3 linked regions of the Coturnix japonica genome follow. The protein of the gene in region 1 interacts with the protein of each later gene in a pairwise test. Links are inferred from orthologs where the notes say so. Each region holds a gene or a part of one and is shown on either strand. Other genes may lie near its edges.

Region 1 (4,041 bases):
CACAATGATTGTAAAGGAACTTCTTCCTTACATCCAATCTATGTCTCCACTCTCTTGCTTTGAAACCATATCCCCCTGTCCTACTGCAACAGACTCTGTTAAAGCATCTGTCCCCTTCTTTCTTATAGACCCCCTTCACATACTGAAAGGCCATTCTCAGGTCATCCTGGAGCCTTCTCTTCTCCAGGCTGAACAGCCCCAGCTCTCTCAGCCTGTCCTTGTAGGAAGGCATTCCATCCCCTGGGTCATTCTGTGGCCCTCCTCTGGATGTGCTCCAACAGCTCCATGTCTCTCCAGTACTTCAGGTGAGACCTCACCAGCACAGAGCAGAGGGGCAGGATCACTCCCTTGGCCAGCTGGCCATGTTGCTTTGGATGCAGCACAGGTTGGCCTTCTAGATTGCCAGGGCACATTGCTGCTCATGTTTAGCCTGTGATCCAGCAGTACCCCCAGGTCCTTTTTAGCAGGCCTTCCCATCAGCACTCTCAAACACATTTCTTAAAAGTTATGAGACGGAACCATGAGATTCTCAGCCATCACTTCGCTGTAACAGTTCCATGCAGCTGCTTGCAAAAAGTTCAGCCTCTACGCGTTAACCAAATAACTTTAACCACCCATTTATACGACTTTTAAATCTCTCGCGTATAAATGACATTACAAGAGCGGTCCGCATTACGCAGAGATGCGTAGCAATGGGCTGAGGGCTCAGGGCCGAGCACAGGCCGCACAAGCCAGGCCCTACAGGCCGGGAGCCGACACAGGACCAGCCCCAAGGCCTCACTGGCCCTACAAGCGCAGCCCAGAGCGAAGGAGAACCCGCAGCACAGTACGGCCGCCCCTCACCTCTCCAACTCCAGATCCTCCTCCATGGCAGACTACAGCCCGGCTCCTCACGCTGACACAGACGCCATAGCCGCTCTCAGCCCAGCTCCTCGAGGCGGAGCGAGCAGGCGCAGCTCCGGATCCGGCGGGGAGGGGGCGGTGCCGGGCGGGGCGGGGATGGAGCCCTGGCGGCAGCGCTGCCCACCCCGCCCCGCCCCGCCCCGCCCCGCCCCGGGTTGCGCTCCGTAGGGCGGAGGGTCCCTCCCGGCCCGGGGCTGCGGTGCGTCCCGCCTCGGCCGCTCCGCCATAGGCTGAGCCGGCCCCGCGCCCGGCCCCGCGCCCCGGGGCTGCCGCCGGAGTGGCGGAGCGCGGCGTCACTTACGCTGCCCCGGGGGAGGCGGGGAGCGGGGCCGGGCGGTGGGGAGGGAGGCGCCGCGCCGAGTGGCCGCCCGGAGTTCGGCTGCCGCCGTGAGGAGCCGGGTGCCGCCGTGGTAAGTCCGTGCCCCGCAACGCGCTCGGTCCCCTGGGGGCGGCCCGGCCCCTCGTTGCGCTCCGCGGGGCGGGGGCCTCCCCCGGGACAGGGCCGGGCCTGCGGCGGGGCCTGCGGGGCCGCAACAAGTGCGGGAGGGGGAGAGCAGCGCCGGGCCGCTTCGGGGAGTTGTGCTGGAGCCGTGACTCCGGAGTCGCGTTACCGCTGCCTGGGGAGGGCGGAGGGCAGGGAGAGTTGTGGGCAGCGCCGGAGCGCACACATCGATGCCAGGCTGCTCTTTTCTCTCCCCTCTCGTTTAAACCGAAGGTGCGGTTGGAAAACTTGCAGTGCGGCGCCTTGTGAACTTTCCCGAGGCGTGCCGTGTTACTGCTCCTCGCTGTGTGTTGGTGCTCAGCCGAGCGGGTAGGGAGTGCTATGGCACTGACAGGCTGCTCGGCCCCATGGGGCTCCTGTGACCACGCTCCCGGTGCGGGGCGTTGGTTGTTTCCTGCTGTAGGAATCCACCATTAAGTACGCCCGAGCTTCGTTTAATTCCTATTTTAATTACGTGATCTCGTTGCTCTCTGTGTGCGACGGGAAAATGACACGGATCGGCTTTGGGTCGTGTTTGATGCTCTCTGGAAATGCACTCCTGCTCGTAAACGCATCAGAGCTTTTGCTCAGCAGAGACCCAGATCCGAGCTGGGCCCCCGTTAAAGTAAATGAGTGATTTCTGTGTGTCTGCAAACCATTGTCTTCCTTTGGGCTCCACGAAGCTTTGCTGTAAGCTTCAATCCCACCGCAGATCAGGGAGCTTAGGGGGAGCATCAGATGGCTCCGGTTAGCGGCTGTGCACTTGGGAGCAAACACGGCGGTGCCATATGCTGCCGTGACTTCATTACCATCCCTCCAGAGACAAGGTTTGTGAGCACACCTTTGGGAACAACAAAACCGACTGGGACCTTCTTGCATTGACTTCTAAAGTGAGGAATCCCCTCTTTCCTGAAGCCAGTTCTATATGGTTGACTCCAAATGCAGGGAATTGTAAGGATTGCAGTTGTGCTCAACTAAGGTTTTGTTGGCTTTTGAAGTTCTTTATATTAAAGAAAAATATCATGCTTTTAAGTGCTTGTATTATTGAAATTCTAAAATCTTGGAATAAGTGCCTATAAAATGCACATTTTTTTCTTTAATGAGAGCTTTCTATAATGAACTTGTAACTGTCCTGGCTTCTAGTTCTGGTCTGTGACTTCAGCAAGAGATAATCCAGGGCCTTGGACTTGGGTCTACAATGGTTAAATCAACATTATTGCCTAAGGCAGGCTTACATCTTTCATTAACCAAAGCATCATTTAATATTAAGCTGCAGCTTAACAGTGGACTTTGCAAGAGAAATGCCCGCAGCTTCCTGGGTGAAAAGTTCTGCTCTCTTGAGACAGTGAGGTTCATTTAAAAATGAAGCCTATGAAAACCTATTACGCATAAATGCTGGCTTTGATACTGCTGGTTTTTGTGTACATTGGGCATTTGCTCTCACAGGAGCCTTGGTGACCTCAGTAAAACCTGGCATTGCCATGAGCCTTTACCCGCACTGCGTGGCCTCTGAGCCTCAAACTGGGGGTCTGTTTGTGCGCTTGTCTCACTGAAAGCAGTAGAGGTTTGTTGGCTTCCAGCTATAACACTGGAAAATATCCCCCCTCTTTTTAAAATCTCACTTTTTCCTGTGCTCTTAAAATGAATGGCTTGATGTAGCTGAAAGCTACTGTTAAGGAGATGTGGTAACCAGTGATATCACTTTAAAAGTGAAGTGTTTAAGCGTATGATATATATTAGATATTGGATTAATACAAATTGGTGTCATAAATCAGCCCGATGCTGCTTGCTTAAAAAGCCGTGAGATATTATGGTCTGCAATGGGTAAGAAAGCAGCACTCGTGCTGTGCTAAGATGCTCCCTGGTGTAAGAGGCGCCTGGTGACTGATCAGATGCAGCTGTGGCCTGTCTCCGGGACTGGAAAATTCTCAGTTGGTTTGGTCTGCAGAAACAACTTAACATGGCACCGTCAAGTCTTGTGGTTCTTAATTGTTTTATTAGGTCAGTGGCGTTTGCTGAGGAGCTGCAGGGCATGTTGCAGATGAAAATTCTTGTAAATATCATGAATGATGTACTTGCTACACTGTGGTATCCACAGAGCAATAAAAACCCATCAAATTGTGGTGTGTGCTTTTTTCTGTCCCCAATTCTACAGATCTGTGTACTTACATATGTTTAATTCTAAGCATCCAAGTATTTCTTTTGGAATTAGTGGGCCTGTTCTTAGGCTTAGCGCTAAGCCTGCATGTAAACGTTTTCAGGGTCAGGATTTATATTCACAAAGTTCATAGGCTAAACCTGTCATGTGTTTTCATACTGACCGCGCTCTCTTTTGCATGTAACAGTACAAGTGGCTGTTGGCTCCTGGCTTGGCAACGAGAGATGCTGCCTGCTCTGTGGGTGCAGGTTGGGCTGGACCAGGATGCTCTGATGTGCTGCCAGCAGCTGCTGTGTCCATCAGGTTGTTGTGGTGGCGCAGGCTTGCCTGGATGTCTGCCCCTTTTGATCTCTAAGCTCTATGTTTTAATCAGCCCATCCCTTAGTGGTGGTCAAGGCCAGGTTGGATGAGGCCCTGGGAGTGAGGAGTAAGCTGTTCCTTTCTTATTACTAGCTTGTAGGTAGGATCTTTCTTGGGTTATCCTAAAACTAGTCAGAGG
Region 2 (4,238 bases), on another chromosome or scaffold:
TCTTGCAAGTGCGAATGCTCCTAAGGCCCCAGATAAGCAGTTTCTCTCCAAATCATCAATTCATTTTCACCATGGCCTCATTTTAATAGAGCTCTCATTGACTGAGTCTCAGTGTTAGACGTGTTTGTTAAAATACTTTCAAACAGCCTTAATTCACACATAAAAGAGAACTCATCCCACCTGCAACCTCTTAAAGTCATCTTTATAGTGGAACACACTCATGACTTTGATGTATGTACATACAAGTTATTTTGCAGTCTAGCTACAAAACCTGCCTTTTAGGCCCTTGGGGTGTGTTTCACCACTTCAAGCTCTGTTAGTAGCTTACACAACCTGCCAAGACTTGCACTGATGGTGTTGAAGGTAAGAAGACAGGTGTCTGCAAGAGCCATATAAAGCAGAACAAGCTCTCAGCAGCAACAGCAAAACACCAATCACAGTTGCACTTTGTTTCCTCAGATTCACAATGGCTTTGCCTGAGTGAGGAGCTGCATCCAACAACATACACAGCAATTTCATCTGCCTCATCAGGAATGAGACCCTGTTGCTTCTTTGGTTCTACATAAAAATCCTTTATTTCCTCCTTTCTTTACTTATATGCATTTTGAAGAAAAGTATTCAGTAAGAGCCCAAAGACATCCTGGATTTGTTGGACTATATTTGCCCAACTGAATCTATTATGCCAGATAAAGTCATACAAATAGCATTCAACTTCAAACAGATTGGGCAATAACCACTCCCCAAAGCCTCACCCCTATACATTAGGGAAGGAAAAACTCAAGACGTCCCTTCCTATGAAATACACACCAAATCAAGAGCCAGTTTATGACCAAATTAATTACACAAACATGCTGTGCAGAACAAGGGCGTCATGTCTGTGGTCTTAATTCTGATAGTACAAAGTAAAAGTGGATAATCATAGAATTACCCAGGTTGGAAAAGACCTTGAAGATCATCAAGTCCAACTGTAGCCTAACCAGAACCTTAACTCTAAAAACCCTACACTAAATTGTATTCCTGAGCACCACATCCAAACGGCTCTTAAACACAACCAGGGATGGCGATTCAACCACCTCCCTGGGGAGCCTATTCCAGTACCTAACTAACTCATTCTACTAAATGAAGACATTTTGGCACTACCAGCCAGACACTAGATTTCCATCTGCCCCATTTACTACCTAAAACAAAAAACATTAGTTGAGAAATCAGTATTAAACTTAGTACCCAGCTTTCCTTAAAGAGAAAGCAATTGGAGATCAAGCAGTAAGGCAGTAATCAAACTCAAGGAGTGAAAGCAAGCACGCCTCACTAATCTTAGCAGTCCAAACCTTAAGGCTGGGTAGCAAACAATTTAGTTACTAGGACAGGCTACAGAAGCCCAACAGCTGTTTCTTTTGTAGCCTCACAGGGCCTGTAGCTGTTTGAAAGTTACTGTAACATGATACCAGACAAAAAGGAATTCAGCAAGTTTTTGCTCTGTGGGAGGAATTGTTTCCTGCCTTAGAACGACCTACAGTAACACCACTGAGCTGGGGTTACTATCGGACACACATTTGCCATCTAAATAAGTTGTTACTGTTAGCTCAGCTTCTTCCAGCACCAGTTTCTCATGGAATTAACTACATACATTACTGCTAGCTACTCACACCATTACTTTTTCTTTCTAGAAAGTGAATAACACGTCTAAATAGTGGATTTAAACTGAGTTTAACAGGGAATATCAGAAGACGGAAGAAATAGAGCCTCCACATAATCGTTTTCACAAGTTAACAAAACTGAGAACAAAATTAGCTTTGCTTACAGCCTTCTTTACCTTACCTTGTCTGTTCTTGTAAGATAAGATGCGGCTCTACAAAGAACTTGACTCTTAATTTAAACCGATAAGGAGCTAAACCATCCATCTGCTGGGAAATCCTGTTCCTCAGATTCAGCCATAGATTCTCCCCTTTGCTGCCAGTGAACTGCAGTCCGAAATAATCGACTTCTATGATCCCCAACCTTCTGCAAACCTGAAAGAAAGAGGTCGTTTATAAGGCACGAACGACACGATTAGACAAAGATACCCCGGCTCAAGTGTGAGCAGCTTGAAACGAGAGAGAAACCCTGTTTGCAAGCATCTTTATACGAGCAGATTTCCAAAGAGCGGCGTGCAAAGCGCTACGTAAACAAGCTGGCAACGTCCCCACTAGCCGACAACAACACGGACTTTATGACCCCCCGGGGGGGACAGGCTCAGCTTCACCCAGACACCACGCACAGACGGGGCGGCTCTTCCCGCAGCCCCAGCTACCGCGGGCCCCACCCGGGCGGCCTCGCAGCGGCCCGACGGGTCCTCCCGTGCCCCCCCCATCCCTCGGGGGGTATGGGGGGAGGTTGAGATGGGGCCGCAGCAGCGAGGCCGAGGCCTCCCCAGCCCCCCTCTCACCCCCTTGTTGGCCCGCCCTTCCCAAACAAGTGAAGGAGAAAGGCGATAACCAGCGCCGGGCCGGAGAGCGGCGAGGAGAGGGATGCGGGCAACCCGCATCCAACATGGAAGGGGGGGGGGGGGGGAAAAGGGAGAAAATAATGGGTTGGGGGGGGGGGGGAGACCGCCACCCGCCCCACTGGGGACGCCCCTCACCTGGTTGAGGCAGTCCTCGCCGTTGGCTTTCGCCTCTACCTCCACCTCCATCACCACCGCGTCCGGCCTGGTCACATAACACAGCATGGCTGGGGTCGGCCAGAGCTGCCACTGCACCGCACCGAACGGCTGCCAACGCCGGCACTGACGGGGAAGGGCGCTGTGCTTGCGGGCTGCGCCTCCCGCCGCCCACACCCGCACACCAACACAACGCAACCACTATCCACGCTCCGCTGCCGCCGCTCCCTCCTTATATACCCTCTGCCTCCCCCCTGCGCGGCACCTGCGGACCAATCGCGGGGCTCCGCTCTCCGCTGCGGGCCGCTCGGCCGCCAATCAGAGCAGCCGTCTTCTGGAGAACGGCTGCGGTTGATGTGGGGGGGCTGTGGGGCGCCCCCTGCCGGCCTGGGGGTGTGGTGAGGAAGGACGGGATGAGGATGGGGGAAGAGCAGGTTGGGTTTGGGAAAAAACAGTTCCTTTGAAGGGAATTTATGACAGGGAGATGAGCCACCAACACAAATCACCGAATATTTTGCCTTTTCCACTTGTTTCTTAGTTTATTTTGGAGTGGGGGCAGGAAAAGTTTGTTTTATTTCTGTTTTCTTGCACAGATGCAGCAGGAAGGCGAAGAAATCCTGGTAACAGGATGTTGGTTTTACCCAGCACCAAACAGTGATGGCCAGCTTACAGATAACAGGCATTCCTTACGCATCCATGCCACTCATGCACCACAAACTGGCTCTCCTTGTTTTCTGTATAGGTCTGGCTCCCCTCCTAGAGGCCTCATTTTCTGCATACATCAGCATACCTCCTGTGTTTTCTTCTTGTCTAACCTAACGCAGATGAAGGTGTTCTTATTATGTCTGTAGGAGCACTATCCTGCTTTGAAATCTAAGCCTAAAGCCACCAAAATAGCTTGTAGCACTAGATCGCATAAGTTGGTTAAGCCCTGTGCAAAACAAGCATTTTCAAGCGTGGCAGCAGGATGCTGCTGTCACAGAAATGCGTTCTTTTCTGCAGGCCCTCTGTGATGTTTTATTCATGCTGCAAGGAGACAGGAAAGAACCGTGTCCTATACTAACATACAAGGGAGAGCTCCGGCATTGAGAGTGCTTTGCAGTCTGTTGGGCTCTGCCTGAATGAAAAGCCCAAAGCCTCTTTCAGTCCCACTTAGGCTCTTTGGTGGGTCAGTACCACTCATAGAGGCACACTGACAGATGCATGCTCAACTATGGAGTATGGTAGAAGAGCATTGCTCAACAGCATGCCACCTTGGTGCCATACGTCATGACATACTTAGTGCTGCACCATAGCAATGCCTCCAGGATGGATCAATCTTTCACTACAGTAGTGAGTTGTGTATAAATTGCCCAGGTGTAATCCCTGTACAAGGTTCTTTTTTGGTCACACCCTATTTCACACAGTAGGTACTGTTTGTAGTGCCTCCTTGTCTGTCATTTCTATGGACAGCCTGTGAGAAAGCAATTGTGTGGAAAAGATAAGTTCCAGACCTTTGAACTTAGAGCCTTACACAGCAGTATTTGCTCTTGTTACCAATAAAGTCTAATATCTCTCCTTGTTTCTCTCACAAGGAAGTTGCCTCCAGGCTGTTGCCTGG
Region 3 (4,278 bases), on another chromosome or scaffold:
AAAAAAACCAATCACAAAGAGCTATAGGCTATCAGAAGCTTCAAACTGCAGGGTTTTCCCTAAGCCAGAGCTTCTTGGATATATCTGCTAACAGCCTAATGCCTAAGGAGAGCTGTGCCTTGGTTTGAAAGGTCTGCGTGTTGCTGGTACTTGGAGAGTACAAGAATTCCTGGATAAACTTGCTGAATACGTAACAGAAACAAAAAATCTTACCTTTCATCCAATGAGAGTTTCCAGTTAAATATAGTCCCAAAGCAAAGAAAAGCAGGCCGTGCTTTAGCATGACTAGATTCCCTGCAGACACCTGGCTCTCAGCTGCTCCACACGGAACTAGAAGAATGAGGAACAGTCTGCTCTGAAGGTAAACAACAGAAAAGGCTCTCGGATACTTCATCTCTGCTAAGGAAACCGGGAAGTAAAAGTTCATCCATTAGGCTTGCAAGAAAACTGGTTAAGCAGCTTAAGGCAAACAAAAAGCAGCGCTCTGAAATGCTGATTGGAGGCAGACAGCCACATCATGCCAGAACCGAGCTGGTTCCTTCTGAAGGACTTTGACTGTAACCACATAACAGAGGTTATGTGAGACTCAAAGTGTCAGGTCTTGCTAGCTGTGATATTTGAGACATTTATGTGCTCTCTGGAATTCCAGCTACTTGTTTTCTATTAGTTTATCTTAGAAATACTTAAATTGCAGTGCGTACCAACACAGCTACATCTAACACAGGGATTTCAGCCACACCCCCCCTGCATTAAGGATAATTCTCCTCACCAAAAGCCTGTGATTTTGAAGGCTTCATCGCTCTTCCAGGATCAGAATAACCTTCCAAAGCACCAAGCAACAACATCAGCATCAAGATTAGGAAGGAAATGAATGCTCCTAAAGCTGAGTGAACACACAACGCATTTCAGAAGCACTGAGCAGCCTTAGAAACCCAAACAGGAGACCCAGGCAACACAGCATTCACACTTAAGACATTTACATGAAGTAATTAATTTTAATGAATTGTAAATTAAAGCAGAGCGAAGCCGTTTCTCCTAGTGCTGGTCAGTAGCATGAAATAACGGCTCAAGTGCAAAAATAAAACAAAAGTCAGAGATATTAGCAGTCGTGTTGTACTGAATAAGGACAATGCAAATCCATCTTCCTATTCCACAGCCCTAATTCACCTCCCTCAGCCCACAAGAACTCGATATCCGAGCTCCCTAGACTCGTATCCACACCAAAACGTAAAGAGACTCCATAAGCCTGGATCCTACTGCAAATTAAACGAGCTCAATCTTTAATTCATGCTCTGCTCTCTACGTGTCACACTATTAACATGCCATAAGCACAACAAGGCGATACAAAACTCCATCAACTCCTGAAGCACTGAGGAGAGCTCAAGCCCGCCCCGCGCATGCGCATTGCCCCGGCCTGGTGATGGCGAGCGGCGGCGCTCTGGGCCTTGCGCCTGCCCTGCATGGCGTGACCGTGGGCTGCTCGTGGCCCTGCGAGCCGCCCGACGGCCTGACCCGGGCTCTATGTGTGCGGAGCGGGGCGGGCTGCGATGAAACGAGGTGAGGGAGGACGAGGAGGAGGTAGCAGAAGCCCTGCGGCCGAGGGGCGGCGGAGGGCCGGGGTGGGGAGGCGGCCTGGAGAGGCAACGCGGCTCTCCCCGCTTCCCTCCTCAGCTGTGAGGCCGTGGTGGTGGTGGAGCGGCGGGATGGCGGCGGGGGTACGCCGTGTGTGCTGCAGCTGGAGTGCCGGAACGGAGCACAGCGGGTGGAGAAGGTCGGTGTGGTGAGCGAGGCCCGGCACATGGAGGTGTACGTGGGAGAGGAGTACTGCGGGACCGGCCGTGGGATGAGCGCTGGAGGCATGCAGCCCCCGGGGTGAGTGAGGAAACACAGCTGGGAGCTGATGGATTTTATTTGTTTTTAATTGGTTGTGAGGCACGTCTGCTTAATGAGTTAAATGAAAACTGTCATTTGCAGCTGTGCTGACCCGTGCTGTGCACACACACAAGGAATCACAACATTAAAACTGCCGCACTGCCCTAAGAAATACGTGTGGTGTCACAGATTGCTCCTTTTGTTTTTGCAGTGAAACTGAAAGTGTGAGTTTATACGAAAAGTATCTGAAATTGGAATGCCCGGCGACCTCTTGTAGGATTAAGGTAGGGAGTTTGGTGGAAATCTATCACTTCTCGTTGTCTTTTCCCGTCCTTGGAGGTGTTCAAGACCAGGTTGGATGGGGCCCTGGGCAACCTGATCTATGGGGTCTCTATGGGGATCTATGGGGTCTCCTGGGCAACCTGATGTAGTAAAGGTGTATGTTCGGTGGCCCTGCCAGGCAGGGGGGTTGGAACTACATGATCCTTGAGGTCCCTTCCAACCCAGGTCATTCTGTGTGATATTCAATCATTTGATTGGCTAAATTGCATTACCCTTCCCCCAATTACTGTTATTTCTATACCATAATCACATTACCACTTAAGACTGTTGTATGGCCTTTATAGCTCTCTTAATTTTCTATCTATGAAGTCACATATGAGAAAGTTGTTACCTCATACAGAAATGCCTTCATAAACCAAATACATTATAGGCAATCTGCAGTTGTAATATAATCAGAACTACTAACTACACTGTGAATGTGTACACTGGTAATGGGAACCCCGTGATGCAGATAAATAAGCTTAGGAAAACCTATACAGCTATTGCTGTATTTAAGTACTAATTGATGCTTTGATCATGCAAGTAACTTCTGTTGAGTCAGAATTCTGACCAAGAGAAAGAAATCAACTTGAATTCCTAACGTATTCATGCAAAGAAACCATTGAATTGTGTTTTTTTCCTTCCTAACCAAGATACCTTTTTTCCTTCTTGCAATAGCTGCTCTCCATTGGTGAGAAACAAAGGGTACTCATCAGTAAGATAATTGTACAAGTGAATACAGTTTCAGCAAAACTAGCAACTGATTTTCCTTCACTAGGATCAAGCATAGATCTAGACAGAGTGCAAACTATAATGGACTCTATGGGATCCAAGTTGTCTCCAGGTGCTCAGCAACTCATGGACATGGTTCGATATCAGCAGAAAGTAAGTTACTGTGCTGCTCCATAGACATCAATAGCGCTGTTCTGTGACTTTGCCTCCTGTGACAGTTAAGCACCTTCTAAGCTGATTCAGTGGAAAAAGTTCTGGTTGTTTTTGGCTTTCCTGTTGCTGCTCTTAAATGCTGCAGTGAATTAAGAACTCAAGGAGTCACATAAAGATCAGAGTTAAGAGCGTTGCATCATTGTCATCATTTTCATCTCCACTGTCGCCCTGTTGTCCGCTTGTCCATTTCACTTGTCACTTCTTGTGATTTCTTCATTGGTGGACATGTTTCTTGTTGCGCTTGGGGTGTAAGTAGATGGATGAGTTTGACTTTGTTGTTATTAAATGCATGACATGAAGTAAGTGAAGTTGTTTTGTTACTCAGAGCAACAAGGTAACAAGCACAGCACATGCAAGGAAAGTTTTTCTATGCTTTGCCCTATGAATATAATTCACAGCTACTTTTTAAGTCATTATATCATGCTAGTAGAATGCTCTAATCACTTGGAGTTAAACTTGTAGCCTGGGTGCTGTTACAGCACAACCTTCAGTATATTTTAGCACTTAATGTTTAAATGTACCTTTCTTCTTCCCATCAGAACAGTTTACCTCTTGGAGACAAACTTAGTTGGATGTTTGGGAAGAACTCAGACTTTGGAAACAAGCATCCGGTAGATGGATTACATGGTGCAGCCATTCAGACATCACTACATCAATCAGTCACTGAATCTTCATCAGTCAGAAGTCCTTTAACAAGTGAAACAGGATGTGAAAACTTAAATCTTGATCTGAAAGCACAGGTTCCTGAAGGAGAGGATGTTTCTAACTCTAAAGAACTTAATACACAGCAGAATACAGCTGACCTCAGAAATTATTTCAAAGCTATGGGGTCTTTGCTTATGCAGGAGCAAACAGATGGAATGCGGAACGTAGCTGCCCCACAGATGCTCCTTCCTTTTCTTCAGAACTTATGCAGTCAAGTTAATCATCTTCGGCTAAAAGACAGTGAAAGGCATCTCGATAAAAGCGTGGTGACTAAAGAAGAGGGCATTCAAACTGTTGGGTAAGTTAACTTAACTAGCAGCTTGTGCGTATTAGCAAGTCTAAATGAGTACACAAGCATTTTATTCTCACTGTTTGTACCAACAGTGCAGCTAGTTTGATAAATACCCAAAGAACAACAGGAGAAACTGAGCTGCA

The links.
Region 2: the proteins of LNX2 (region 1) and MYLIP interact in binary tests that used the Homo sapiens proteins (3 or more experiments, as listed by UniProt). The link is inferred for Coturnix japonica from reciprocal best matches to the Homo sapiens genes LNX2 and MYLIP.
Region 3: the proteins of LNX2 (region 1) and C6H10orf88 interact in binary tests that used the Homo sapiens proteins (3 or more experiments, as listed by UniProt). The link is inferred for Coturnix japonica from reciprocal best matches to the Homo sapiens genes LNX2 and C10orf88.

What each region holds. Positions count from the first base shown.
Region 1 is NC_029516.1:157,558,932-157,562,972, forward strand, and holds the start of LNX2 (ligand of Numb protein X 2), read left to right. Parts: upstream 1-1,190; 5' UTR 1,191-1,313; intron 1,314-4,041. Other genes in the region: protein POLR1D, read right to left, coding at 844-869.
Region 2 is NC_029517.1:67,510,810-67,515,047, forward strand, and holds the start of MYLIP (E3 ubiquitin-protein ligase MYLIP), read right to left. Parts: upstream 2,859-4,238; 5' UTR 2,708-2,858; coding exon 2,621-2,707; intron 2,010-2,620; coding exon 1,819-2,009; intron 1-1,818. UniProt on the Homo sapiens protein: E3 ubiquitin-protein ligase that mediates ubiquitination and subsequent proteasomal degradation of myosin regulatory light chain (MRLC), LDLR, VLDLR and LRP8. Activity depends on E2 enzymes of the UBE2D family.
Region 3 is NC_029521.1:27,968,722-27,972,999, reverse strand, and holds the start of C6H10orf88 (ATPase PAAT), read left to right. Parts: upstream 1-1,420; coding exon 1,421-1,557; intron 1,558-1,671; coding exon 1,672-1,872; intron 1,873-2,083; coding exon 2,084-2,156; intron 2,157-2,871; coding exon 2,872-3,078; intron 3,079-3,677; coding exon 3,678-4,141; intron 4,142-4,278. Other genes in the region: disintegrin and metalloproteinase domain-containing protein 9-like, read right to left, coding at 214-427. UniProt on the Homo sapiens protein: ATPase that regulates mitochondrial ABC transporters ABCB7, ABCB8/MITOSUR and ABCB10. Regulates mitochondrial ferric concentration and heme biosynthesis and plays a role in the maintenance of mitochondrial homeostasis and cell survival.